4 linked regions of the Anolis sagrei genome follow. Each later gene encodes a partner of the first gene's protein in a complex. Links are inferred from orthologs where the notes say so. Each region holds a gene or a part of one and is shown in the gene's direction. Other genes may lie near its edges.

What was found.
Region 2: EIF3F (region 1) and EIF3J share a complex: the UniProt entries of both Homo sapiens proteins name them as parts of the eukaryotic translation initiation factor 3 (eIF-3) complex. The link is inferred for Anolis sagrei from reciprocal best matches to the Homo sapiens genes EIF3F and EIF3J.
Region 3: EIF3F (region 1) and EIF3D share a complex: the UniProt entries of both Homo sapiens proteins name them as parts of the eukaryotic translation initiation factor 3 (eIF-3) complex. The link is inferred for Anolis sagrei from reciprocal best matches to the Homo sapiens genes EIF3F and EIF3D.
Region 4: EIF3F (region 1) and EIF3G share a complex: the UniProt entries of both Homo sapiens proteins name them as parts of the eukaryotic translation initiation factor 3 (eIF-3) complex. The link is inferred for Anolis sagrei from reciprocal best matches to the Homo sapiens genes EIF3F and EIF3G.

Annotation. Positions count from the first base shown.
Region 1 is NC_090023.1:147,514,794-147,521,621, forward strand, and holds the start of EIF3F (eukaryotic translation initiation factor 3 subunit F), read left to right. Parts: upstream 1-3,813; 5' UTR 3,814-3,832; coding exon 3,833-4,106; intron 4,107-6,828. UniProt on the Homo sapiens protein: Component of the eukaryotic translation initiation factor 3 (eIF-3) complex, which is required for several steps in the initiation of protein synthesis.
Region 2 is NC_090029.1:23,332,162-23,339,404, forward strand, and holds the start of EIF3J (eukaryotic translation initiation factor 3 subunit J), read left to right. Parts: upstream 1-4,232; 5' UTR 4,233-4,306; coding exon 4,307-4,331; intron 4,332-4,421; coding exon 4,422-4,546; intron 4,547-7,243. UniProt on the Homo sapiens protein: Component of the eukaryotic translation initiation factor 3 (eIF-3) complex, which is required for several steps in the initiation of protein synthesis.
Region 3 is NC_090025.1:166,603,576-166,611,253, forward strand, and holds the start of EIF3D (eukaryotic translation initiation factor 3 subunit D), read left to right. Parts: upstream 1-4,666; 5' UTR 4,667-4,791; intron 4,792-7,514; 5' UTR 7,515-7,525; coding exon 7,526-7,648; intron 7,649-7,678. UniProt on the Homo sapiens protein: mRNA cap-binding component of the eukaryotic translation initiation factor 3 (eIF-3) complex, a complex required for several steps in the initiation of protein synthesis of a specialized repertoire of mRNAs.
Region 4 is NC_090022.1:172,118,370-172,125,888, forward strand, and holds the start of EIF3G (eukaryotic translation initiation factor 3 subunit G), read left to right. Parts: upstream 1-4,499; 5' UTR 4,500-4,642; coding exon 4,643-4,662; intron 4,663-7,519. Other genes in the region: DNMT1 (DNA (cytosine-5)-methyltransferase 1), read left to right, coding at 20-57. UniProt on the Homo sapiens protein: RNA-binding component of the eukaryotic translation initiation factor 3 (eIF-3) complex, which is required for several steps in the initiation of protein synthesis.

The DNA of each region.
Region 1 (6,828 bases):
TGTTCCAAAGATAGTTCTCCCAAGCAAAAAGATGTTCTTAACTGGTTCAATTTGTTCTATTTCCAAAACTTTAAATAAAAGTGCCATTTGTTTGGAGGGACATTATTTTGAAGCCTTTAAATTTTTACTTACTTAATTACTTACTTATTTGTCCATTTCTGTTTCGCTTCCCAGCCAACAAGACTCCTTGAGGTGATGGACAAATGAAAACCAATTAAAACAGAGGTCCCCAAACAATGGCCTGCAGGCCAGTTGCAACCCTCCACGGTCATTTGCCCAGAAGGTTGCCAGTTCGAAGCCCCAGATAGGCATGAGCACCCTACTGTCAGCCCAGTTCACTGTTTACCTAAGCAGTTTGAAAACAGCTTAGTGTTGTACATAGAGAAATTAGGTACCGCTAAAAAGTGGGGTAGGTATTACCATTAAAAGAAAAAGACACTATAAGAAGATCAGAAAATGCCTGGCGACCAAAAGCAAGGGAGGAAGGAAGTCCTAATGGTTCTTCGTCATATAAGATGGAGTGACAGCCCCCCCCCTCCCCCTGCTGGATTTGAGTACAACCTCCAAAGCCCCAAAAAGCCATACGTTGACACAACATACCTCCTTTCTGGTTGTCTCTGTCCTGTCTGTCCAAATGATATTGAATGTTTGCTGTGTATGTGTACTGCTATAAAATGGACTATTCTCCTCTCTCAAGCCCCCCCCCCCTTGTGGCCTCTGCCCAGGTAATAGAACAGTGTTGTTGTTCATTCATTCAGTCGACTCCGACTCTTCGTGACCTCATGGACCAGCCCACGCCAGAGCTCCCTGTCGGCCGTCACCACCCCCAGCTCCTTCAAGGTCAGTCCAGTCACTTCAAGGATGCCATCCATCCATCTTGCCCTTGGTCGGCCCCTCTTCCTTTTGCCTTCCACTTTCCCCAGCATAATTGTCTTCTCTAGGCTTTCCTGTCTCCTCATGATGTGACCAAAGTACTTCAACTTTGTCTGTAGTATCCTTCCCTCCAATGAGCAGCCGGGCTTTATTTCCTGGAGGATGGACTGGTTGGATCTTCTCGCAGTCCAAGGCACTCTCAGAACTTTCCTCCAACACCACAGCTCAAAAGCATCGATCTTCCTTCGCTCAGCCTTCCCTAAGGTCCAGCTCTCACATCCGTAGGTTACTACAGGGAATACCATGACTTTGACTAGGCGGATCTTTGTTGCCAGTGTGATGTCTCTACTCTTTACTATTTTAATAGAACAGTACCAAGTTGGAAATTTAGGCCCCTTCCACATAACTAAATACAATCCCACATTTTGTGCTTTGAACCAGGATATATGGCAGTGTATTGTACAAGTGTACAAGAATGATTGACAACTGGCAAATAGAGGGAGAAAACATGGAGGCAGTGACAGACTTTGTATTTCTAGGTGCAAAGATTACTGTAGACGCAGACTGCAGCCAGGAAATCAGAAGACGTTTACTTCTTGGGAGGAGACCAATGACCAATTTTGATAAAATAGTGAAGAGTAGAGACGTCACACTGGCAACCAAGATCCGCATAGTCAAAGCAATGGTATTCCCCGTAGTAACCTATGGATGTGAGAGCTGGACCATAGGGAAGGCTGAGCTAAGGAAGATAGATGCTTTTGAACTGTGGTGCTGGAGGAAAGTTCTGAGAGTGCCTTGGACTGCCAGAAGATCCAACCAGTCCATACTTATAAATAAATAAAGCCCGACTGTTCATTGGAGGGAAGGAGACAAAGTTGAAGTACTTTGGCAACATCATGAGGAGACAGGAAATCTTAGAGAAGACAATGATGCTGGGGAAAATGGAAGGAAAAAGGAAGAGGGGCCGACCAAGTGCAAGATGGATGGATAGCATCCTTGAAGTGACTGGCTTGACTCTGAAGGAGCTGGGGGAGGTGACGGCCGACAGGGCGCTCTGGCGTGGGCTGGTCCTTGAGGTCACTAAGAGTCAGAAGCGTTTGAACGAATGAACAACAATATGACAGTGTGGACTGATAGCTTTGAGCCCTTCCATATATCCCTTTATCCCAGAATATCAAGGCAGAAAATCCCACAATATCTGCTTTGGAATGGGTTATCTGAATCCACACTGCTATATATTCCAGTTCAAAGCAGATGTGGAATTTTATTCAGTTGTGTGGAAGGGGCCAGAAAATCCCACATTATCTGAGTGTGGACTCAAGATAACCCAGTTCAAAGCAGATACTGCGGGATTTTCTACCTTGATATTCTGGGTTACAGGGCTGTGTGGAAGGGCCCTGGGTTATCTGTGTCCAACTGCAAATGGAAGTTCCAATTATTTCCGGTTAAATATACAATTGTAATCAGTTAAAATATCTGGAGCCCTCAGTGGCGCAATGGGTTAAACCCCTGTGCCGGCAGGACTGAAGACCGACAGGTCGCAAGTTCAAATCCAGGGAGAGCGCGGATGAGCTCCCTCTAACAGCTCCAGCTCCTCATGCGGGGACATGAGAGAAGCCTCCCACAAGGATGGTAAAACATCAAAACATCTAGCCATCCCCTGGGCAACGTCCTTGCAGATGGCCAGTTCTCTCACACCAGAAACAATTTGAAGTTTCTCAAGTTGCTCCTAACATGACAAAAAAAAGTTAAAACAGCTGTGTTTTTACTAGAACTTCTATGGGATCTTGTGATTTCTAGTTCACTGAGACACCGAAACAGAGTTAGGGACTTTCCACACAGCCATATAACCCAAAATAGCTGCTTTGGAACTGCCATATCAGTTCATATCAGCCAGCAGCCCCTGGGTCTTAAAGGGAAAGATCAAAGAGTCCCTGGTGGGTGTGCAAAGTGCAGTATAGACTCATGTATAAGCCAGGCATGGGCAAACCTTGGCCCTCCAGGTGTTTTGGACTTCAACTCCCACATTTCCTAACAACCATGCCTGGCATAAGCCAACCTCATACATATGTTGGGGGTCAGGATCATGTATTTTCATTTGACCCATGGAAAAGTCAAGGAAAAGAGGGAGGGAGACGGTTAAGTCACCAATTGATGGAGGAACATACTATATGCCTGACCTCATCTACCTGGGGACAGGTGTTGGAGCAGAAATTATGCACTTTCATATGATAGGTTCTGGATAACAAGATAGGGTCTGGAGAACAAGCCCTATGAGGAGCGGCTTAAAGAGCTGGGCATGCTTAGCCCGAAGAAGAGAAGACTGAGAGGAGACATGATTGCCATGTATAAATATGTGAGGGGAAGTTATAGGAAGGAGGGAGCAAGCTTGTTTTCTGCTTCCCTGGAGGCTAGGACACAATGGAGCAATGGCTTCAAACTACAAGAAAGGAGATTCCATCTGAACATCAGGGATAACTTCCTGACTGTGAGAGCTGTTCAGAAGTGGAACTCTCTGCCCTGGAGTGCGGTAGAAGCTCCTTCTATGGAAGCTTTTAAGCAGAGGCTGGATGGCCATCTGTCGGGGGTGCTTTGAATGCAATTTTCCTTCTTCTTGGCAAAATGGGGTTGGACTGGATGGCCCACGAGGTCTCTTCCAACTCTAGGATTCTATATATTCCAATCCAAAGCAGATCTTGTGGGATTTTATTCAGCTGTGCCGAAGGAGCCAAGAAAACCGAAGCTACGAGCCAAACTAGAACTTCAACATCACCCTATGTTTTTCGAGCTGCGCGTGAAGAAGCCAGAAGTTTGATGTCACTCGGCTTCCGGTCTCTAGGACCAATGGAACGCTTCGGGAAAGCTAAGCCGATTTCCATAGGAGAGCGGTGTCACGTGACGGCCGCGCCGAGCCAATCAGAACCGGCGGAGAGGCGCGCGTGGCCCTTTCGCTGACAAGATGGCGGCGGTGGAGGCTGCTCCGGCTCTTCAGGGCGCTGCTACGCCTTCGCCCGCGGCTCCGGCGGCCGCTTCCCCGACCCCTTTGCCGGCGGCAGTGGCTGCCCCTCCGCCTGCAGCGCCTCCCACCCCAGCCCCCACTCCCCCGGCCCCGCTGGCTGCGCCCTTCCCCGGCGGGCGGGCGGTCCGGCTTCACCCGGTGGTGTTGGCCTCCATCGTGGACAGCTACGAGCGGCGCAACGAGGGCGCCGGGCGGGTCATCGGCACCCTCCTCGGTAAGGAGCGCGTGGGGATGTGTCGGAAGCACTGCCAGCGCCAGTTAGGCCGGGGAAAGGGCTCCAGGCAAGCAATTCTTCCAGGCCCAATTCATGTATACAGGCAGCCCCCGGGTTACAAACATCCGCCTTCCAAAGGACTCCTAGTTAAGAACGGGGGTGAGACAACAGGATGTGAGAGAAATCCACCCCTTGGAAGGGACATTATTATTTATTATTATTTATAGTATTTATAATCCGGGGACTCAGGGCAGAGTACTATGCACATATACATGGCAAACATTTGATGCCATTTAGACATACAACATCTATAGACAGACACAGAGGCAATTTAACATTCCAACTTTTCCGGCTTCATTAAGGCAGGCTTGGTTCTGGTCACAGGGGAAGCTGCTGTTTCACTGTCCACTTGTGACAAAGGGTCCTTTGGAGAACCCCCCCAGTGGTGCAGTGGGTTAAACCCCTGTGCCGGCAGGACTGAAGACTGACAGGTCGCAGGTTCAAATCCGGGGAGAGGCGGACGAGCTCCCTCTATCAACTCCAGCTCCTCATGCGGGGATGTGAGGGAAGTCTCCCACAAGGATGATAAAAACATCAAATCATCCAGGCGTCCCCTGGGCAACGTCCTTGCAGAGGGCCAATTCTCTCAAACCAGAAGTGACTTGCAGTTTCTCAAGTCACTCCTGACACGACAAAAAAAAGGGTCCTTTGATGTAGTACTTCCTCATTCTTCTGCATGTTGCTGGAAGGTTTTATGGCATCGTAAATTAGTTAAATTCGCCTCCCCACATTAAGCGGTACCTAAATTTCCTACTTGACAGATGCAACTGTCTTTTGAGCTGCATAGGCCAACAGCATGCTAACAGTCAGTACCTTACCCGGGCTGGCTTTGAACTCATAATGTTCCACTTGAACATTAAGAACTTCCCGAGTGTGAGAGCCATTCAGCAGTGGAGCTCTCTGCCCCAGAGTGTGGCGGAGGCTCCTTCTTTGGAAGCTTTTAAACAGAGGCTAGATGGCCATCTGTTGGGGGTGCTTTGAATGCAATTTTCCTGCTGCTTGGCAGGGGGTTGGACTGGCTGGCCCAACTCTATGATTCTATGATTCTATCTCAGTAGTGATTTAATGCAGCTGGTTACTAACTAGCTGCGTCACAGCCCGATCCTCATGGGGACATTCACTCTCTCTCACGCCATGAATGCTTTATCATGAATCCTTGTTTTCACAACAAGCCAAATCTTTCAAAATCCAATTATTACAGGGAAAGTAATAACAATAATTCTCTATTTCTAGATCACCCTCTCTCCCCATGGGGACTCAGGGCAGTTTACATACATGTAAAAGGCATACATTCAATGCCATCATAAAAATCACACAACACTAAAAATGCAAAATAAACAGTAAAATACTTATTGAGGTTAAAAGTGAGGTTAAATCTCAATAGGGGCACAGACAACAAAACAAACAACTACAGGGGTGTTCACTTCCTTGTGCTATCCAAACTCATATATGGGTTCCTGGCGATGCCCAGGATATTTGAAATAAAAACAAAACATTTGTTTGGTTTTGAATGTTAGGTAATATCATTGAGGTAATTTGTAACACTATTTATTAGGGAAAGTGTGTTTTTTATTCATGTTCCCATTAGAAAATGCATAAGGATGTGGGTGAACTACAACTCCCAAAATTGTGGGTCAGTCCTTCCCAAACTCTGCCAGTATTCAAAGTTGCCTGTGTTAGGTATGTGCACCAAGTTTAGTCCAGATCTATCGTTGGCTGGGTTCAGTGCTCTTGGGTGCGGGTGAATTACATCTCCCAGAATTCAAGGTTAATAAGCCCCAAACCCCTTCAGTATGGAGGTCACAGTTCCTCTGGATGTGGGTGAACGACAACTCTCTGAAATCAAGGTCAGTTTTCCCCAGTCCCCTCCAGTATCTTCAGTTGGTCATGGACTGGGGTCTCTTCAACGTTTGGTCCAGGTCCATTATTTGTTGGGGTCACAGTGGTTTGTGGAAGTGGATGATAGTATTGCAACTCCCATCACCCACGGTCCATTCTCCCCCAAACATCATCAGCACATAAAATGGGTCACAGGGGGTCTGCCAAGTTTGCGCCAGGTCCCTCATTCATGGGGGTTGCATTTATCTGCAGAAGTGGCAGCTGAAGTGGGTAAAGGTACTGCAAATCCCATCATCCATGGTCCATCCTCCTCTAAACTACACCAGAACATAAAGTGGGTTGCAGGGGTTCTGTGTGCCAAATTTTGTCCAGGTCCGTCATTTGTGGGTGTTGCAGTGGTCTGTGGAAGTCAGAGCTCCGGCCAGAAAAATACATTGCCACCCACATGCAAACAAAGAAGTGGAGTTACATTTTTAAAATGTACCTGTTCCGGCCTACAAACAAATTCAACTTAAGAACAAACCTGCAGAACTCTCCTTGTATCTATATATTTTTATTTGTATACATAATAAAAGTGAAACTGTTTGTACCCATATTTCCTCAAATGTAATGCTCCATCAAATTTAATGTGCACCTCTGTTTTCAAAATCCTGAAACCAAAAAAAATAAATATTTGTTCCCTCATGTAATGTACAGCCACAAAAAAGTGTGCTCTTTGCCATTTGGATAACAAAGGTGTGCATTACTGTTGCTTCCTTATTAGAATTCCTTAATTATAAACAATTGTGTTAGAACACTGAAGCGTCTAGCAATGGAAAGGAAA
Region 2 (7,243 bases), on another chromosome or scaffold:
TGATCTCTGCCTTCACTTTCCATCTGCTCAATGCTCCTATCTTGTGATTGCAAAGCATGCACTGTTGGTTGTTTCAGTCATAGGCTGGCATGTTTGCTAAGTGTATGCTAAGCCCACTAATAACACTATGTGACAAAATTTTAATATTTTTTTTTTGTTTCTGGTTTGAATGCATTACTCCCTGATTAATTGTGCAGTCTTTACTTTGAAAGTAGTTGTTCTACACCAGAACTTTGTTTTTGTGGCTGCCACAAACTAGGCTGAATTGGTTGAGATATTTATGGGGAAATTAGACCCAAATGTGCTGCTGCAGGGTGCCTTCCCACAAAAACAAATTTTTCACAGTTTAATAAACTTTTCTCATGCTTTTAATGATAGAACCAATTAGGAGATGACATAATCCAGGAACAAAAATCACGTTACACAGTGAACCATACTAAATAATAATATTCATAGTAAATCATAATCATACTAAATAATAATAAATAGCAATAATAAATTAATACATTGATAACCCAGGAATAAAAACCATGTTTGTGTTACATAGTGAATCATATCAAATATTAATAATATTTAATAATAATAATAATAATAATAAATATTGCAAAAGCTCTGGCATAAACCAGTCCAGGGGGTCCCAGTGGTGATCGGCACACTGGGTGCCGTGCAAAAAGATCTCAGCCAGCTTTTGGAAACAATAAACATTGACAAAATCATCTGTCAACTGCAAAACACCACCTTACTTGGATCTGCGCGCCTAATTCGGAAATACATCACACAGTCCTAGACGCTTGGAAAGTGTTCGACTTGTGATTTTTTGATACAAAATCCAGCATATAGATCTTGTTTACTGTGACATACTGTGGCTTTGTGTCAGTAAAATAAAAATAAAAATATAATAATAATAAATCAATAACATTGATAACCCAGGAACAAAAATCGTGTTGCACCTAGTGAATCATGCCAAATAATAACAATAGTCACAATAATAAAATAATCACACTAATTAATAATAATCATAAAAATAATAAATACTAAATAATTAATAATATTAATTAATGATATTGATAACTCAGGAACAAAAATTGTGTTACATATTGAATCATACAAAATAATAATAGCCACAATAATAATCATAATAAATTAATCATATTAAATAATAATAAATACTAAATAAATAATTAGTAATAATTATTAATGACTTTGCTTACTTACTTACTTAGGCGATCCCTCATTGGACGAGTAAGATGGTTTTCCATTATGGGTTTCCTTGTGGATTTGTAGGTGGCTTTGGAGCCCTGTTTTTGACCCGCATCTTCTCCCACAGTGACTTTGTAATGACTTTGACAACCCAGGGAAAAAATGTGTTTATGTTACATAGTAAATCATATTAAATAATAATAACAATACCAAATAAATAAATAATAATAATGGCATTGATAACCCAGGAATACAAATCATGTTACATAGTGAATCATACTAAATAATAATAATATTTTTCCATAAATATGTTTAAGTCTCCTCTTGGGGTGAGAAAAACGGTATACAGGTGAAGTAAATAATAATAAAAAAATATATAATAAGTGGTTTGTGGTTTGCTCTTTACTTTGTAACTTGGGGCCCGCCTGTTTGTGGTTTGCTCTTTATTTTGACTATAATAATAGTCAAAATAGTAATAAAATAATCATACTAAATAATATTAAATAAAAATTAACAATAATAATTAGTGCCATTGATAGTTCTTTCTCCCACACTGGACATTATGCAGATAGATAAACCTCACTTGTCTAGTTTCCAACAGACTTCACCACCTTTGAAGATGCCTGATATAGATGTAGACGAAACGTCAGGAAAAAATGATTCTGGAACATTGCCAGACAGCCCGGAAAACTCACAGCAACCCTTTACTAGAGAAGGCCTGAAGAAGATTGTCATTTCCAACTTGTATGGTCTTCTTCTCAGTGAGCACAGACCATATTATCATCGGCATATTGGAGTTCTATAACAGATACTGCTGTGTCCTCGGTTTTTGCTTTCAGTCTACTGCTGAGGCTAACTTACTTACTTACTTACTTAGGCGATCCCTCGTCATCCGAGCAGGATAATCCTCCAGGGTGACTATGGAGCCCTATTCTTGATCTGCATCGTCTCCCACAGCGAGGGCATTGGTTTCCAGGTGGAAGGCGATCCCAGTTGGGGTTTGCTTGACGCGCCTTCCTCTTGGCACATTTCTCTCTTTTGCCCTCCATTCATGCCTCTTCAAATTCTACAGCACTGCTGGTCACAGCTGACCTCCAGCTGGAGCGCTCAAGGGCCAGGGCTTCCCGGTTTTCAGTGTCTATGCCAGAGTTTGTAAGGTTAGATTAGAGCCCATTTATACATCTCTTTTCCTGTCCACCAACATTCTTGAGTTCGGAGAAGAGAAACAGCTTTGGGAGACGGTGGTCGGGCATCCAAACAACTTGACGGGTCCAGCAGAGTGGATGGCGGAGGACCATGGCTTCAATGCTGGTGGTCTTTGGGTTGTTGTAGGTTTTTTGAGCTATATGGCCATGTTCTAGAGGCCTTCTCTCCTGATATTTTGCCTGCATCTATGGCAAGCATCCTCAAAGGTAGTAAGGATGCTTGCCACAGATGCAGGTGAAACGTCAGGAGAGAATGCTTCTAGAACATGTCCATATAGCCCAATAAAAACCTACAACAACCCAGTGATTCCGGCCATGAAAGCCTTCGGCAATACTAGTGGCCTTTGCTTCTTCTAGCACGCTGACATTGTCCACTTGTCTTCCCAAGAGATTTGCAGGATTTTCCGGAGGCAGCGCTGATGGAATCGTTCCAGGAGCTGCATGTGACGCCTGTAGACAATCCACGTCTCGCAGGCATATAGCTGGGTTGGGAGGACAATAGCTTTATAAACAAGCATCTTGGTATCCCTACGGATGTCCCGGTCCTCAAACACTCTCTGCTTCATTTGCAAAAATGCTGCACTCGCAGAGCTCAGGCAGTGTTGCATTTCATTGTCAATGTTATTTTTTTTATTTATCGTGTCAGGGGCAACCAGACAATTGTATTACATTTCTAACAGAACAAAACAAACAAACAGACAAAATACAAAATTTGCGAGTTTGGTAGTTGATTAAATGTCCTTTGACCAGTATCTGGCCACTTGGAGTGCTTCTGGTGTTGCCGCAAGAAGGTCCTCCATTGTACATGTGGCAGGGCTTAGGGTGTATTGCAGCAGGTGGTCAGTGGTTTGCTCTTCTCCACACTCGCATGTCGTGGACTCCACTTTGTGGGCCCATTTCTTGTGGTTGGCTCTGCATCTTGTGGTGCCAGAGCGCAGTCTGTTCAGTGCCTTCCAAGTTGCCCAGTCTTCTGTGTTCTCAGGAGGGAGTCTCTCATTTGGTATCAGCCACTGGTTGAGGTTCTGGGTTTGAGCCTGCCACTTTTGGACTCTGGCTTGCTGAGGTGTTCCAGCGAGTGTCTCTGTAGATCTTAGAAAACTATTTCTTGATTTAAGTCATTGACGTGCTGGTTGATACCCAAACAGTGGATGAGCTGGAGACGTCTCTGCCTTGGTCCTTTCACTATTGGCTGCTACTCCCCAGCGGATGTCAGGTAGTGTGATACCGGCTAAGCAGTGTAATTTCTCCAGTGGTGTGGGGCGCAGACACCCCGTGATAATGCGGCATGTCTCATTAAGAGCCACATCCACTGTTTTAGTGTGGTGAGATGTGTCCCACACTGGGCATGCATACTCAGCAGCAGAGTAGCATAGCGCAAGGAGAGATGTCTTCACTGTGTCTGGTTGTGATCCCTAGGTTGTGCCAGTCAGCTTTCGTATATTGTTTCTAGTGCCCACTTTTTGCTTGAAGTGCAGGTAGTGCTTCTTGTAGGTCAGCGCACGGTCCAGAGTGACTCCCAGGTATCTGGGTGCGCTGCAATGGTCCAGTGGGATTCCTTTCCAGGTGATCCTCAGAGCTCAGGATGCTTGTCTGTTCTTGAGATGAAAGGCAGATGTCTGTGTTTTGGATGGGTTGGGGATCAGTTGGTTTTCCCTGTAATAGGCAGTAAGAGCACCCAGAGCTTCGGAAAGCTTCTGTTCAACCATCTCAAAGCTCCCAATCTCGTTGTTGCTCTGGGTAGGCTGGAGGGGGCGTGGCTTTGTTTGAAGGGGCGTGGTTTGTTAAGGCCCCGCCCTCTCTCGGCGTATTCCTTTTCCTCCCGGCATCCCCCGCGCGGGCGTCTGGCTCTTCCTCTTCCGGCCTTGGCCGCGAGTGCCTGACGGGCCTGAGGCAGAACCAAGATGGCGGCGGTGGCGGATTCCTGGGGTGAGTGTGGCCGGGAAGGCAGGCCTGGAGGTGGGAAGGAAGGGCCTCTTTTTCGCCCCCTGCTGACACCCTCTCCCTTCTCCGGCGCAGACTCCTTCGAGACGACGGCGGCGGAGGCGGAGGAGGACGGGCGGCACCAGGCCCGGCTGCCCACGCCCTCCGTGGCGGCGGCGGGAGACCGGTGGGCCGGGGAGGACGAGGACGAGGATGTCAAGGTGGGAAAGGCCTCGCTCTGCTTCTCTTCCCTCCTTTTTTCACCAAGTTACGAACAAGGAGGGCTCTGTAGCAGACCTGGGCCAACTTGGGCCCTCCCTCCAGCTGTTTTGGACTCCAACTCCCATACTTCCTCACACCCTCAGGCCCATTCCTATCCCTTCCTCAGCCGCTGAAGTAAAGAGCAAACCACTTATTATATAAATTACTAGCCGTCCCCTTGCCAGGCGTTGCTGTGGCCCAGTCTGGTGATCTGGAAAATACAGTAATGAGAAAGTGTTGGTTTCTAATATATGTAATTTCTTTATGTTTCTGGGTAAACAATATTTCTTGCTGTTTCTTTGTCAGTGTTGACATGGAGATTATTATTATTTAATTATTATTATTAAACTTTATTTGTACCCCGCTAGCATCTCCCGAAGGATTCGATGCGGCTTACAGAACACACAACACAACAATACAATCTAAGCAAATAAAACAAATTAAAAACAGAATAAAGCAAAAAAAAAAAAAACACCAAATCAGCAGGCACAATACACTAAAACACGATAAAACTGGGCCGGTCCAGAGAATGGGTACAAAGATTAAAAGTGCTGATGTGACAGGAGGTGTATATAGGGCTTCCAGGGCAAGTGCGATGTGCGATGTGCAGCAATCATTGGTTCTGATAAAGTGCTCTTGGGACTTGGTATTGGAGATTTCCTAATCTGGGAAGGCGCATCGGAAAAGCCAGGTCTTCAAGTTCTTTCTGAAGACAGCCAATGAAGGGGCCTGTCTAAGGTCTTTGGGGTGGGTGTTCCAGAGTCAGGGGGCCACCACGGAAAAGGCCCTGTCCCGCGTCCCCACCAAGCGCGCTTGCGACGCCGGTGGGATCACGAGCAGGGCCTCTCCAGATGACCGAAGTGAACGTGTGGGTTCGTAGATGGATATGCGGTCACGCAGGTAGATTGTCTGGTTTGCCTACTCTGGAACATGCAACTTATAATTGTCCTTCTTTGGGGGTCCCTTTCAAACCTATGATACTATATCTGTGTTTGTGTGAATCATATCTATCTATCTAAATCTATGGCTGGATGGCTCTTTGTCAGGAGGACTTTGATTACGTTTTGCCCTAGTGAAGGGAGTTGGACTGAATGGCCCTAAGTATTTTCTGTTGGTCATGGGGGTTCTGTGTGGGAAGTTTGCCCCAATTCTGTCATTGGTGGGGTTCAGAATGCTCTTTGATTGTAGGTGAACTATAAATCCCAGTAACTACAACTCCCAAATGTCGAGGTGTATTTCCCCCGAAACCCCATCTGTGTTCATATTTGGCCATATGGAGTGTTCATGCCAAGTTTGGTCCAGGTCCATCATTTTTTGGGTCCACAGTGGTCTCTGGATGTAGGTGAACTACAACTCCCAAACTCAAGGTCAATGCCCATCAATCCCTTCCAGTGTTTTCTGTTGGTCATGGGAGTCCTGTGTGCCAAGTTTAGTTCAGTTCCATTATTGGTGGAATTCAGAAATCTTTTTGATTGTAGGTGAACTGTAAATCCCAGCAACTACTACTCCCAAATGACAAAATTAATTTTTGAGTGATGGTTACTCCTTGGGTTAGTAGGTGTCTTGTGGCCAAATTTGGTGGTAATTCGTCCAGTTAAAAAAATTTCTCATGTCAGGAACGACTTGAGGAACTGTAAGTCGCTTCTGGTGTGTGAGAGAGAATTTGGCCGCCTGCAAGAACATTGCCCAGGGGACAGCCGGATGTTTTACCATCCTTGTGGGAGGCATCTCTCATGTCTCCGCATGGGAAGCTAGAGCCGACAGACGGGAGCTCACCCCACTCCCCATATTCGAACTGCCTACCTTTCAGTCAACGTGGATGAGCTCACTCTGTCAGCTTCAGCTCCCCGTGGGGGGACATTTATTTATTATTTATTTATTTATTAACTTTATTTGTACCCCGCTAGCATCTCCCGGAGGACTCAATGCGGCTTACACAGGCCGAAGCCTCAAAACACAATACAGTAAAACAAACACAACAGTAGAAAACATAGCAAATCAATAAGTTAAGCAAGCAATAACGACAATAACAATACATCATGACACTTTAAAACTGGGCCGGCCAGCGCAATGGGGTACAGGGTTAAAAGTGCTAGAGTGGTAGGAGGAGCATGGGAATAAAATAGTACGGTGTGCATTAATGTTAATTGTGCTAAAGTGCTTCTAGGACTTGGGTGGGGATTCCTAATCTGAGAAGGCACATCGGAACAGCCAAGTTTTTAGGTTCTTTCTGAAAGCTGCTAAAGTAGGGGCCTGGCGAAGATCTTTTGGAAGGGCATTCCAAAATCGGGGGGCCGCCACAGAGAAGGCCCTGTCTCGTGACATGGGAGAAGCCTCCCACAAGGATGGTAAAACATCAAAACATCCTGGCGTCCCCTGGGCAACGTCCTTGCAGACAACCAATTCTTTCACACCAGAAACGACTTGCAGTTTCTCAAGTTGCTCCTGACACGGCAAAAAAAAAACAAAAACCCATGTTCCTTCTCATGAAAAAAAAAAAAGCGGAAGCTGGAGCTGACATCACCAGGGCCTCCCAACCACTTGCTACAATGCAGTCTGAGTCCTACCATATGCACCCTCTCACAGCGACACCAGTGGCCAGCTTCTTGTCAAAGGTCATTTAGCATCATGCCAAGTTTTGTGGTCATTTTTATACA
Region 3 (7,678 bases), on another chromosome or scaffold:
TGTTACCAATAAATTCAACCACATTCAGTTAGATATACTACTGAATCCATGGTCTCCTCTCCTCTGCTCATCTCTGTAACCAGCACTAAATGCTTTCTAGAGTCTGGTACTTTCACCTAAAATAATCAAGTGAAGTAGTAATCCTTGCCACTATAACCCCTTTTGGCATAGGAATAAAATCACTTCCATTACACCCTTATAATTCCTGAAGAATTTCCTTTGCATCCAAAGATAACTATATACCAGAAGTTATTTTCGATTGCGTGAGGCTCCTATTGTGCTCACTGTGTTTTTGTTTCTCCTTACAACATACACTCTCCACTTTGAAATGGCATATTTCTGAGGTGGCTCTGATAGAAACAGTTGGATGTGATATCCTAATTTTTGGTTTGTCTAATGTAGTTTTAAAATACATATTTTTCCTTGAATACCTGTATTTACTTGAGTCTAATGTGCCATCGAATCTAATGCACACCTCAATTTTGAAAACCGTGAAACCAAAAAAGTATTTACTAGCAAATACAATGTGCAGCAGCAAAAGTTGCACTCTTTGCAATGTGCCTTTTACAGTTGTTACCTGCTTAGAATTCCTTCGTAAAAACCATTGTGTTAAAACATCAAGGCTTTCAACAATGGAAAAGAAACCTTGGTGTTCATGTATGGTGCAGAATGAATCCACTTTCACTGCCTTGGTTCAATGCTATGGGGTTATGGGGGCTGTAGTTTTACAAGGCCTTGAGCCTTCTCTGCCAAAAGAGTGCAGATGCCTCATCAAACTAAAAATCCCAGGACTGCATAGCATTGAGCTATGACAATGAAATTACAGATGACACCCCGCAAATAGAAGCTCCAGTTGCTCCTGAAGCAGCTTACCCTTTTGCTATGGCTCAGCAAGATTATCTTATTACGCGAATCTAATACACATCCTGATTTTGGCAAGGTAGTTTAGCTTTAAAAGGTGATTTGAGTAAATACAGTATGTACAGTTTTCCTGTAACAATGAGGAGGAGGAAGAATAGTTCAATAGCAGATGCCTCCATGGACTGCTGCATAGGACACATATTTGGGACATCATGCTGAGGCTGAAATTTAATTATTTATTTATTACATTTATATGCCGCTTTTCTCCCCCTAAGGGAACTCAAAGTGGTTTCCAACATTATAAAGGTAAAATTCAATGCCAAACATACATGTGAAAACCAAAAGATAATAGCAAGACGATAACATATAACTATAAATTAACCTAACCAAATTAAAAAATAAACATAAAATGACATTTAGACTTAAAGAATAAACAATTAAACATTGATAAAATAATAACATTTATATTAAAACCCACCAATAAACAACACGATTTTAAAAGTTATTAAAATCAAATCCATAATAGAGTCTGTAGCCGTTCCATTGGTCCATTCACTATTCCTTATCCCTTTCTGATGTACGTACAATTATTGTGATGTTTAATTGACTTCTTTCTTCCCATCCAACCCAAAGAGGAAATAAGAAAAATAAAAGACTGCACAATGGACCTTCATTATCCGCTCACCTTGCAGATTGTAGATCAGGATGAAGGGTTCCTACTGATACAAACTGTACAAAGGGAGGCTACATGGTGGGGACATGGACCATGATGTGAAATTGCCCCATTTACATTTAACCTATTTGAGTTTGACAATGATTGAGTGACACCCCAAAAAGGTGGCGCAGAACTGTGAAACTATAAAAGCAAATGTACTGTCACTGCTCAGGCTTCCTGAATTTCGGTAGCATCACTGGAGGTCCAGTTCTCTGTATTTTTTCTACTTCTTCTGATAGTTTTTCAGAATAAAACTTTCTTTCTGAGACTAATAAACACCTTGTTACTTTGCTGGCCGTGTTTCTACACTTGCACCTTTTAAGAGATTGGGGTGACAGCTGTACCCTACAAACTCTATCAGTTCTGAACCCTTTAATAAAATGTAACTATTTGATGGTTTCTATGTAAATTGTATCTTTCTTACTGTGTACTGTATCAGGAAAGCTAAGAGAAGACAATTATGCTGGGGAAAATGGAAGGAAAAAGGAAAAGGGGTTGACCAAGGGTAAGATGGATGGATGGCATCCTTGAAGTGACTGGCTTGACTCTGAAGGAGCTGGGGGAGGTGATGGCGACAGGGAGCTCTGGCGTGGGCTGGTCCATGAGGTCACAAAGAGTCAAAAACGACTGAACGAATGAACAACAAGAACTGTATCAATTTAGTATATGAAGTGTATAATCTGTTTGTTATACATATCAAAATGTAACATTTGCGTAATCTCTTGGGAAAGGGGACATTGGTCAAATCCCTCCCTTGACTGCGGTCCTAGCTGAAATCACTACACAATGGTATAGTAAAATAGTGAGGCAAAAATAGGTTTGCTTTTTGGAATTTTTCTCCCCAGATATTTTTGAGCTGTAGTTGGTGAAGCCCCACTGTATCAAAATCAGAAATTATAGTAAAATCAGAAATTTTAGAATACCAATGTTGTGGTCCCTTTGACTACGAATGGTCACTCCAGTGCAATTAGATGCGGCTGTACAATAATACATTGTGTTTCATTATATTGTTTTTTTGTTTACACTCAGGTTTACACTCAGGCTGAGAGGAGACATAATAGCTATGTATAAATATATGAAGGAAAATTATATGCAGGAGGGAACAAGCTTGTTTTCTGCTGCCTTGGAGACTAGGACGCAGAACAATGGCTTCAAACTACAGGAAAGGAGATTCCACCTGAACATGAGGAAGAACTTCCTGACTGTGAGAGCTGTTCAGCAGTGGAACTCTCTGCCCCGGAGTATAGTGGAGGCTCCTTCTTTGGAGGCGTTTAAACAGAGGCTGTATGGCCATCTGTGGGGGTGCTTTGAATGCGATTTTCCTGCTTTTTGGCAGGGGGTTAGAACTAGATGGCCCACGAGGTCTCTTCCAACTCAATGATTCTAGGTCCTTACTACACTAAACCATTATAGCACTATATTCTGCTTTAACTGCCATGGCAACACCCTATGCAATATTGGGGTTTGTAGTCTAATGAGGTCAGAGATCTTTCTGGTTGAGAAATCTAAATGCTTCTCCGTAAACTACAAATCCCTGGATTCCACAGGTTTTTTGTTGTTGTTGTTTTGTTTTTTTGTCATGTCAGGAGCGACGTGAGAAACTGCAAGTCGCTTCTGGTGTGAGAGAATTGGCCGTCTGCAAGGATGTTGCCCAGGGGACGCCCGGATGATTTGATGTTTTTATCATCCTTGTGAGAGGCTTCTCTCATGTCCCCGTGTGAGGAGCTGGAGCTGATAGAGGGGGCTCATCCGCCTCTCCCCAGATTCGAACCTGCGACCTGTCGGTCTTCAGTCCTGCCGGCACAGGGGTTTAACCCACTGCACCACCGGGGGCTCCATGATTCCACAGTAACCTGCTATTACAGTAAAATAATAGGATTGTAATGGTGCAGTACATAGGGGTGCTCTTACACTGTAGAATTAATGCAGTTTGACACCGCTTCCTGCCATAACTCAGTGCTATGGAATTCTGGGATTTGTAGTTTGGTAAGGCAGTTTGATGAGGCACCAATACTATTTGGCAGAGATAGCTAAAGACCTTGCACAACTACAACTCCCACAAATCCTTAGCCTTGATCTTAAGACAGCTTATTTATTTGTCGTGTCAGAGCAACCAGTCCATTATATTACATTTCTAACAGAACAAAGTAAACAAACAGACAAATACAAAACTTGTGAGTTTGGTAGTTGGTTAAATGTCCTTTGACCAGTATCTGGCCACTTGGAGTGCTTCCGGTGTTGCTGCAAGAAGGTCCTCCATTGTGCATGTGGCTGGGCTCAGGTTGCATTGCAGCAGGTGGTCAGTGGTTTGCTCTTCTCCACACTCACATGTCGAGGATTCCACTTGGTAGCCCCATTTCTGAAGGTCGGCTCTGCATCTCGTGGTGCCAGAACGCAGTGTCTTTAGCGCCTTCCAAGTCTCCCAGTCTTCTGTGTGCCCAGTAGGGAGTCTCTCATTGAGTATCAGCCATTGGTTGAGGTGCTGGGTTTGAGCCTGCTACTTTTGGACTCTCGCTTGCTGAGGTGTTCCAGCTAGTGTCTCTGTAGATCTTAGAAAACTATTTCTAGATTTAAGTCGTTGACGTGCTGGCTGATACCCAAACAGGTATAAGACAGCTAAAGTGGTATAAAACTACATTAACTTTACGGCATAGATGCACCTTTTGATCTATTCCATACACACACTTGCAGTATTTATTGTATTTCCTAGATTGTAAAGCAGCACACTGCCTTTAGTTGCAATAACACAAATTAAAATAGCCCAAAAGGCACCAGGTTGTCTGATCTTGGTAGCTAAGCAGGATCAGCCCTGGTTTGTAATTGGATGGAGGGAGGGGATCACTGACAAAAGGCAGGTGCTGTGGGGGGAAGAAACTAGCAAAACCATCTCTGAGAATCCCTTTCCTTTAAAAAAAAAAAGAGCTATAAAATTCATGGCGTTGTTGCCATAAATCCGCAGGCGATAGGCACTGAATGCAAATAACACAGAGAGAGAGAACCCAGCGTTTTTACGTCCCTGCCAGGCCTTTCCTTTCCTAACTCGGCTTTTGCGACAGTTTTGGCGTCGCGCTGGAGTGACGTGTCATGAGAGCCAGGGCCGCCGCGCCGGAAGCCGGGGAAGCCGTAAAGCGCAATCCTTGTGGAAGGTGGTTTATCTGTCGTCGGTGTTTTCGGGGCCGAATCCGCTGCCATCGGGGCCCACTGGGGTCCTAGAGGTGAGCGAGGCGGCCACGGGGGAGGACCGGGGAGCCTTCGCTCTCCTCCGGCGCCAGTATTTTTTCCCTCCGAGTCTTGGATTGTAGTCTTGCCGGGCCTCGAGGGAAGGGCGGCGGCTGCTGAATGGATTCGGCGGAGGGGGAAGGCCCATTTCAGCCCTGTTCCAGGCTCAACAGCAGGTATGGGCCAACTTGGGCCATCCAAGTGTTTTGGACTGCAACTCCCACCATTCCTAACAGTCTCAGGCCCCTTCCTCCCCTGAGGAAGCAAAAGGAAGGGGCCTGAGGCTGTTAGGAATGGTGGGAGTTGCAGTCCAAAACACTTGGATGGCCCAAGTTGGCCCATACCTGCTCTAGATACTCCCTTGGTCATTAAGGGTCATGTCACACTACACTATTATAGCACTACTATTCCACTTTTAACTGCCATGGCAACAGTCCTTGGCATTCTGGAGGTATAGTTTAGTGAGTCTCAAGAGCTGAGAACTATCCATGCGCCTCCCTAAACTGCAAATCCCAGGACTTTTTAGGATATCGCCATGGAATAATACCTGTGACGATGAATGTGTTGCCAAAAGCATAGTACAAAGTAGACATATTTGTATTGTGTTGGTATAATGTTTTATTTTGTACTGCTCTTTGTAAGAGCTTAGGCTCTTTAGAAAGTAGCATATTCTTAATTCTTTTTAAAAAGTAAAGGTTTTACCCTGACATTAAGTCCAGTCATATCCAACTCTGGGGGTTGGTGCTCATCTCCATTTCTAAGCTGAAGAGCCGGCGTTGTCCGTAGACACCTCCAGCATGACCGCATGGAGCAACATTACCTTCCCGACGGAGTGGTACCTATTGATCTACTCACATTTGCATGTTTTCAAACTGCTAGGTTGGCAGAAGCTGGGGCTGACAGTTGAAGCTCATGTCACTCCCCGGATTAGAACCTGCCACCTTTCGGTCAACATGTTTAGCAACTCAGTGGTTTAACCCACTGTGCCTCCGGGGGCACCCGGGTTTTTATTAAGTTATGTCCAAATATATTCTTAATAATCTTATTATATTAACTAGCACAATATTAGTATTATATTGTACTATACAGCTATACTGCAGTGTGATGGAGCCCTAGGTCTCTTTATCACATGCTCAAAAGGAATGAACACGTCATCACACTCATTTTGCAAAATGCTAGAAATGACAAAGAGAAATTAGGCATTTTTAGTATGTAATAGTATTGATCTATAAAACACATTTCTCATTCACACTGTCATTAAACAGGATAATAGTTATGCGGTGTTTAATCATATGTGGGATAGTTTGCATTATAGAATTATTTCAGAAACGGCATTGATTATTTGCCGTGTATATGTATATTGTGATCTGCTCTGAGTCCCCTTCGGGGTGAGGAGGGCGGAATATAAATACTGTAAATAAATAAATAAATGTATCTACGACATTTATATTCCGCCCTTCTCACCACAAAGGGACTCAGAGCAACTTATAAGTTATATGTACATACAATATATTGTATTATTAGCATAGCACAATATTAGTATTATATCTTACTATATTGTACTATACTTCTATGCTGCAATATTATTAGTAATTTTACATGTAATATATAATTATTGTTATTATATTGTATTATTAGTATTATATTGTATTACAGTATTATGATCAATATTATACGTACATACAATATATTATTAGCATACTATAATATAGAAGGACTTTTCTGTATGCCTGCTGACTGAAAAACCTTGCACTCCATTCCTCTTGCTTTTCTGCGTAGTTTCATGCAGTTCCAGGGCGACAGTGGCCACAGGAATGTGATTAAAATGATTTTGTATCCAGGACTATAATTGACATCTTAAGAAGATTTTAGTGATGCTTGTTAATAAGAAGGTTGGTTGTTATAGGGTAGCAGGAAAAAAAGATATACAGGACTTTAAGTGCTGACTCTGTGGTATTCAGTGCAGCTGAATGACTTGAAATTTTTCCTCAAAAAACACTTTTACCTAATTCTACATTCTCAATTCATGTGTCCAAAAATGAACAGTGGATCATGGATTGGATCTCATCAAAGAGCTGTGTTTAATAAACTTGTAGAAATTGAAGGAGGTGGTGTTTTTTAAAGAGTCTCTGAGAATGTAAAATTTTGTGCTGCTTGGTATTGGATTTGTTATTTCTGATACACATTCAGGATGTTGTTTATGCAGTCAGTTGTAAATCCTTCCTTGAAAGTGTAAGGTTGTGCTGATACTTTAAGCACTAACCTACAACCAATAAATAATAAAAATTTAGTATTATTTTTGTTCTTGGCATTGAATGTTTGCCATTTTTGTTATACTTTGGAAACCACCCAGAATCCCTTTAGGTAGAGAGGGCAGGTTATAAATATATTATTATTATTATTTCCTTTATACAAGTTGAGTATTCCTTATTAGGGACCAGAAGTGTTTGAGATTTCTGTTTCATCCACCTTTGGGAATAACTGTCTTTGCTTATATGTACATGATGTGATATCTTGAAGATGGGACCCAAGTCTAAACATGAAATTAATTTATGTTTCATATACACAATTGTGCACATAGTCTGAAGGTATTTTAAAAGATATTTTAGTCTGCTCCATGAAAACACCTTATCAGCTGATCTTAGTATTTCAAAATGCCTTTGTATTTTATAATTGTGAGAACATCATTTTCTACCTTTTCTTTTCTTTTTTTTACTAGAAATATAAAAGATGGCGAGGTTCATGATACCTGTGATCCAAGACAATCCATCAGGATGGGGTCCATGTGCTATCCCTGAGCAGTTCAAAGATATGCCTTATCAGCCCTTCAGCAAAGGAGATCGTCTGGGGAAGGTATGTTCACTTGTAGCTTTTTACAGAAGT
Region 4 (7,519 bases), on another chromosome or scaffold:
GTATCTTATTTTTCCGCAGATACCATCAAACGGGAAAAAATGGACACTTCCGATTAATTTGTAAATTGCTCGTCATCTGCTGCACCTTGGTTACCGCACCTGAACACCCAAACATGCACTGATAATTTTGAATTTTCTTCTGCTTTTTTAATTTCCAGGTTATTTTCTTATACTTCTGGACATGCTGAAAATTGTTGGAGGTCTCTCTTTGTTTTTGGGGACGGGAGGGGGAGGATTTTTGTGTGTTCTCTCTCTCTGTCTTGCTCTTTCTCAGAGTCTGTATTTGTGAGCGGTGTTTGTCTCCTCGGCTGACATTCTGACGCTGTTTTGATGTTCCAGATAACCATTCCCAAGTGATCAAATTGTGCAGTGCCTGCCACTTCATGCGTGTGCGTGTGTATGTGTGTCGGGGGGAGGGGGGGTTCAGGATGTTTTTATGATACATTGTATTGAAATTTAATCAACCACTTTGTACAAGTGGAAATTAATACTTTATGTAGTTTTTATATGTTGTAATATTTCTTCAAATAAATCTCTCCTATAAATTATCTCAAGGTCCCTTTCTGACTTCCTTCAGATGTCTGTCCCATCTCTGGGCTCTGGTTTGTGTTCATGTTGGTGCTGGGACCTAAGTACCACTTCAATTCCACTGACCAACACACATTTTGGTGCCTCAAATGTTAGCTCTGTTTCTGGGTATATTTGACCTGCTGATTCCAAAAATGATACCAGTTTTCCCCTATCAGCTCTAGTTTTTCAGATACAGAACATAGGCCATCTATCAATTGCCATCTGCCACCCATAAAGAATCATGATAATCTTAATATATAAAAAAGCTTCTGTGCGTCCTGAGTAGGCTAAACACAGACAAACTATGGGGCCAACTGACATCAATTTTGGCCTCCAAACGTCTCATACCGCAAGGTATGACCACAATTAAAAAAAATCCCCAAACAGTGAAAATAGCTTTAAAATTCTTTTAAAAATAAAAAATACCTTACCACGCATGTGCAAAACCTAGGCCTGCCCCCTCCTGTACAAGAAGGGGAAACAAACAGCCACAGTAGCAAAGCAGCTGGCTGTCCCTGCTTCAGGAGCCAAGCTGAGAAGCCAGAACAACCTGGCAAAGCTGCTCTGAAAAGCAGCCTTTAGAGCAGTGGTTCTCAACCTTCCTAATGCCGTGACCCCTTAAGACAGTCCCTCATGTTGTGGTGACCCCCAACCATAATATTGTTTTCGTTGCTACTTCATAACAGTCATTTTACTAATGTTATATATCATAATGTAAGTATCTGATATGCAGGGTGCATTTTCATTCACTGGGCACAAATACCCAATGCACCCAAATGTGAATGCTAGTGGGGTTGGGGGAGGATTGATTTTATAATTTGGGAGTTGTAGTTGCTGGGATTTATAGTTTACTTATAATCAAAGAGCATTCTAAACTCCACCAGCGATGGATTTGAACCAAACTTGACTCCCATGACCAACAGAAAACACTGGAAGGGTTTGATGGGCATTGACCTTGAGTTTGGGAGTTGTAGTTCACCTATATCCAGAGACACTGTGGACTCATGCCATGATGGATCTGGTCCAAACTTCGCATGATTACTCAATATGCCCAAATGTGAACACTGGTGGAGTCTGGGGAAAATAGATCTTGACATTTGGGAGTTGTAGTTGCTGGAATTTATAGTTCATTACAATCAAGGAATATTCTGAACTCCACCAACGATAGAATTGGCTCAAACTTCCCACATGGAATCCCCATGACCATCAGATAATACTGTGTTTTCTTATGGTCTTTGGCGACCCCTCAGGGGTCCCGACCCCCAGGTTGAGAAGCACTGCTTTAGAGCCTTCTCGGGGGGGGGGGGAGAGGGATGGACGGACGGAGGGACAGAAGAAGCGAAGAAGCAAGCAAGCCCCTTTTGCATTGGTCTGGCAAGGAAGGCGAGAGGGAAAGGGAACGGAGTGAGGGAGGGAGCAGGAGCTACACTAGGAGAAGGCTGCACAGGCCTCTTAAGAGACACAGGGTTCAGTAACAAATCTCATATTCAATTAAAGGAGGCATTTAACAAACACCGGGAACCCCCAGTGGCGCAGTGGTTTAAACCCCTGTGCTGGCAGAACTGAAGACCGATTGGTCGCAGGTTCAAATCTGGGGAGAGGCAGATGAGCTCCCTCTATCAGCTCCATGAGAGAAGCCTCCCACAAGGATGATAAAATCAAAAAATCATCCAGGTGTCCCTCTGGGCAATGTCCTTGCAGACGGCCAATTCTCTCACACCAGAAGCGACTTGCAGTTTCTCAAGTCGCTCCTGACACGACAAATAATAATAACAAAGACAAGAAAGGTGGATTCGAAGAAGGGGAAAAAATATGGGACAAGGTTTTGTCTTCGAACAATAAACTAATCTCCAAAATCCGCAAAATACTCTTAACTTGGTCGACCGAGAGAGAACAAATAAAAGAGTGCATGGTGAGGTGGGCACAAAACATCGGCCACAACATCCAAATAACAGAATGGGAAAACATGTTGTTGTTCATTCGTTCAGTCGTCTCCGACTCTTCGTGACCTCATGGACCAGCCCACGCCAGAGCTCCCTGTCGGCCGTTACCACCCCCAGCTCCCTCAAGGTCAGTCCAGTCACTTCAAGGATGCCATCCATCCATCTTGCCCTTGGTCGGCCCCTCTTCCTTTTGCCTTCCACTTTCCCCAGCATAATTGTCTTCTCTAGGCTTTCCTGTCTCCTCATGATGTGGCCAAAGTACTTCAACTTTGTCTCTAGTATCTTTCCCTCCAGTGAGCAGTCAGGCTTTATTTCCTGGAGGATGGACTGGTTGGATCTTCTCGCAGTCCAAGGCACTCTCAGAACTTTCCTCCAACACCACAGCTCAAAAGCATCGATCTTCCTTCGCTCAGCCTTCCCTAAGGTCCAGCTCTCACATCCGTAGGTGACTACAGGGAATACCATGGCTTTGACTAGGCGGATCTTTGTTGCCAGTCTGATTTCTCTACTCTTTACTATTTTATCGAGACTGGACATTGCTCTCCTCCCAAGAAGGAAGCGTCTTCTGATTTCCTGGCCACAGTCTGCATCTGCAGTAATCTTTGCACCTAGAAATACAAAGTCTGTCACAGCCTCCACGGTTTCTCCCTCTATTTTCCAGTTGTCAATCATTCTTGTTGCCATAATCTTGGTTTTTTTGACGTTTAGCTGCAACCCGGCTTTTGCGCTTTCTTCTTTCACCTTGATTAGAAGGCTCCTCAGCTCCTCCTCGCTTTCGGCCATCAGAGTGGTGTCATCTGCATATCTGAGGTTGTTAATGTTTCTTCCAGCAATTTTCACCCCGGCTTTGCATTCATCCAGCCCCGCACATCGCATGATGTGTTCTGCATACAAGTTAAAAAGGTTGGGTGAGAGGATGCAGCCTTGCCGTACGCCTTTCCCAATCTTGAACCAGTCTGTTGTTCCGTGGTCAGTTCTGACTGTTGCTACTTGGTCCTTGTACAGATTCCTCAGGGAAAACATATGGAACTCTAAAATAAAATATACAGACTCTCAGGACCTACGTGAAAATTGGTACACGATGATGTGCCGTTGGTACATAACACCAAGTAAACTTGCGAAATGTTAAAAGAATCCATCAGACAAATGCTGGAAATGCACTCACAAGTGGGATCCTTCTCTCACCTTTGGTGGACATGCAAAAAAGCAACTAGATTCTGAGCGTGGACTCAGATAACACAGTTCAAAGCAGATATTGTGGGATTTTCTGCCTTGATATTCTGGAATATAGGGCTGTGTGGAAGGGCCCCCAGCTGGGTTTGACAGTAGGACGCGGAACAATGGTTTCAAACTACAAGAAAGGAGATTCCATCTGAACATGAAGAAGAACTTCCTGATTGTGAGAGCCATTCAGCAGTGGAACTCTCTGCCCCGGAGTGTGGTGGAGGCTCCTTCTTTGGAGGCTTTTAAACAGAGGCTGGGTGGCCATCTGTGAGGGGTGCTTTGAATGCAACATTCCCGCTTCTTGGCAGGGGGTTGGACTGGATGGCCCATGAAGTCTTCCAACTCTTATAATTCCTGACTGTGAGCCGTTCAGCAGTGGAACTCTCTGCCCCGGAGTGTGGTGGAGGCTCCTTTTGAAGGCTTTTAAACAGAAGCTGGGTGGCCATCTGTGAGGGGTGCTTTGAATGCAACATTCCCGCTTCTTGGCAGGGGGTTGGACTGGATGGCCCATGAAGTCTCTTCCAACTCTAGAATTCTATCAAGGGATGCAATTCTTGAAGTGTCCACTGGGGGCGGCAATTCACCTCACTAATACAGGCGGCCTTGCAGCTTTTGGGCCTCCAACTTCCAGCATTCCTGGGCATTGAACAAGCTGGCGAGGGCTTCTGGGAATTGGAGGCCCAAAAGTTGGAGTGGAGCGACCCCTATCGCGTCTTCCCAGCAGGCACCGCGGCGAGCCGAAAGGCCTCCGCCATGCATTTTGGTTTGGCCACCACGTCAGTGACGCAAACTACGTCTCCCGTGAGGCTCTGCGTCACGCTTAGGCCGGCTTCCTGCCTCTCGTGAGGCCTAGTCTTCCTCTTCAGCTCGCCTTCCTGCTGCTTGCTCTTCTTCCAGGGGCGGCCATGCCGACGGGCGACTACGAGTGAGCAAATGGGGAAGGCGGGAAGCAGGCCTGGAGGAGGGAGGGAGGCCTTGGGGGAAAGGGGAAAGCGGCGGGCGGGCGGTCCGTGTACACGTGTTTGCGCGTCCAGACGTGCAGTGGCGGGTTTGTGATTCGGAGAGTCCCGAATTCTTTCCTCAACCGCTTCTCATGAGCCATTTTTTCCCAAACAAAGTCAACTTCATGTCTTTCAAACTCTTAAAGCTGGTTATAGACCAAAAGCTCAATTTGGTCAGCTCTGGACTTCTCCAGCTGAGTGTCAAGAGTTGGGCAGACACGTGACAGAAACCTAAGGCCTGGCCTCCTCAAACAGCGGCCTTCCAGCTGTTTGCACCTCCAACTCCTAAAATTCCTGGCCATTGAAGAAGCTGGCAAGGGCTTCTGGGCGTTGGAAGGCCCCAGTTTGAGGCTGCCTGCTCTGGGAAGCTTGGCATAGCTTTGTGTATCTTTTACTTTTTTTGTCGTGTCAGAGCAACCAGTCCATTATGTTACATTTCTAACCGAACAAAGCAAATAAACAGAAAAATACACAACTTGTGAGTTTCGTAGTTGGTTAAATGTCCTTTGACCAGTATCTGGCCACTTGGAGTGCTTCTGGTGTTGCCGCAAGTAGGTCCTCCATTGTGCATGTGGCAGGGCTCAGGTTGCATTGCAGCAAGTAGTCAGTGGTTTGCTCTTCTCCACACTCGCATGTCGTGGATTCCACTTTGTAGCCCCATTTCTTGAGGTTGGCTCTGCATCTCGTGGTGCCAGAGCGCAGTCTGTTCAGCGCCTTCCAAGTCACCCAGTCTTCTGTGTGCCCAGGAGGGAGTCTCTCATTTGGTATCAGCCATTGGTTGAGGTGCTGGGTTTGAGCCTGCCACTTTTGGACTCTCGCTTGCTGAGGTGTTCCAGCGAGTGTCTCTGTAGATCTTAGAAAACTATGCCTAGATTTAAGTCATTGGCGTGCTGGCTGATACCCAAACAGGGGATGAGCTGGAGATGTCTCTGCCTTGGTCCTTTCACTATTGGCTGCTACTTCCCGGCAGATGTCAGGTGGTGCAATACCGGCTAAGCAGTGTAATTTCTCCAGTGGTGTAGAGCGCAGACACCCTGAGATAATCCGGCATGTCTCATTAAGAGCCACATCCACTGTTTTAGTATGGTGAGATGTGTTCCACACTGGGCATGCATACTCAGCAGCAGAGTAGCATAGCATAAGGGCAGATGTCTTCACTGTATCTGGTTGTGGGACATGAGAGAAGCCTCCTCGCAGGATTGCAAGATATCCGGGCGTCCCCTGGGCAACGTCTTCGTAGACGGCTGATTCTCTCGCCACAGAAGCGACCAGCATGCAAGCAAGCAAGCATCTTTTACTTAAAATCCAACTTTAAAACGAAATGATTTAATTAATATTTCTTGATGAGTTTACCCTGCTACCTAGTATGATGTGTCTTCACGTATTCATGTAATACAGTATAATAATAATATTATTAATAATAATACAATATAATTTTTTTGTTGTATCAGGAGCGACTTGAGAAACTGCAAGTCGCTTCTGGTGTGAGAGAATTGGCCGTCTGCAAGGACGTTGCCCAGGGGACGCCTGTATGATTTGATGTTTTTATCCTTGTGGGAGGCTTCTCTCATGTCCCCGCATGAGGAGCTGGAGCTGATAGAGGGAGCTCATCCGCCTCTCCCCGGATTCGAACCTGCGACCTGTCGGTCTTCAGTCCTGCCGGCACAGGGGTTTAACCCACTGCGCCACTGGGGGCTCATACAATATACTAAAATCTAGTAATAATAATTGTAAAATCATAATAATAACCTTTATTTCTATCTCGCAGTGGTTCTCAACTTGAGGTCCCCAGATGTTTTAGCCTTCAACACCCAGAAATCCTAAATTTCTGAGAATTGTAGGCCAAAACACCTGGGGACCCACAGGTTGAGGATCACTGCTCTACAGTGTAGTTGCACTTCAAGTCTAGCACTGAAACCACTGCACCACACTGATTGTCTCCCTTACTTAATATTGGATGTGCAACTATGGCTCTCCAAATGTTTTTGGTCAGCTATTCCCATTATCCATCATTAGTGGCTTTGCTGGGTAGGTCTGATGGGCCTTTGAGGCCAAAGATATCTTTGTGCAACTTACCTGGAGGTCTATATTTGCTCACTTGTTCTAACATTATATAGTTAGATACTAAAACTTGGAGATGGGTATTAATTATGTAGACTGCATCTTTACTGAATCTCCATTAGACATGGAGTCACTTTGAAAGTGAGAGACACTGAACATGTGTTGAAAAGGTCTGGGTAACATGGAAATACATGATTTCATTAATGTATGGGGAGCAATTTCCGCATCTGGTATTATTGGACCACATCTGTTTAATGCAGTGGTTCCCAACTTTTTTTTGACCAGGGACCACTCTCCAGCATTATTACCAAAAGGGTTAGGAATCAGTTTTTGGTCAACTTTAGATTTGGTTTGTGGTGCTGATTCAGAAAATTGCATTGGGTAGACCACATCAGCTCTGCTTTCTGATACAGAACACATGCCATGGTCAGCAACAGGAAAGGAGTGGCAGGCAGTCTGAAAGGAGTAGAAGTAAAATAAATAAAAAATGAGATTTGTGGACCAGATTTTCGTCCTTGCAGCCTACTGGTGGTCCGTCACCCACAGGTTAAGAACCAGTGCTTTAATGGAATAGTAACAGGAGTGTTACCTGAAAATGTTGAGAATATATCCCCCAGTCATAAACACATCTAGCTCTCAAGGGACTTTTCCTTGTAAGCCAGTGGTTCCCAACTTTTAGCCTCCAGGCATTTTAGACTTCAACTCCCAGAACTCCCAGCA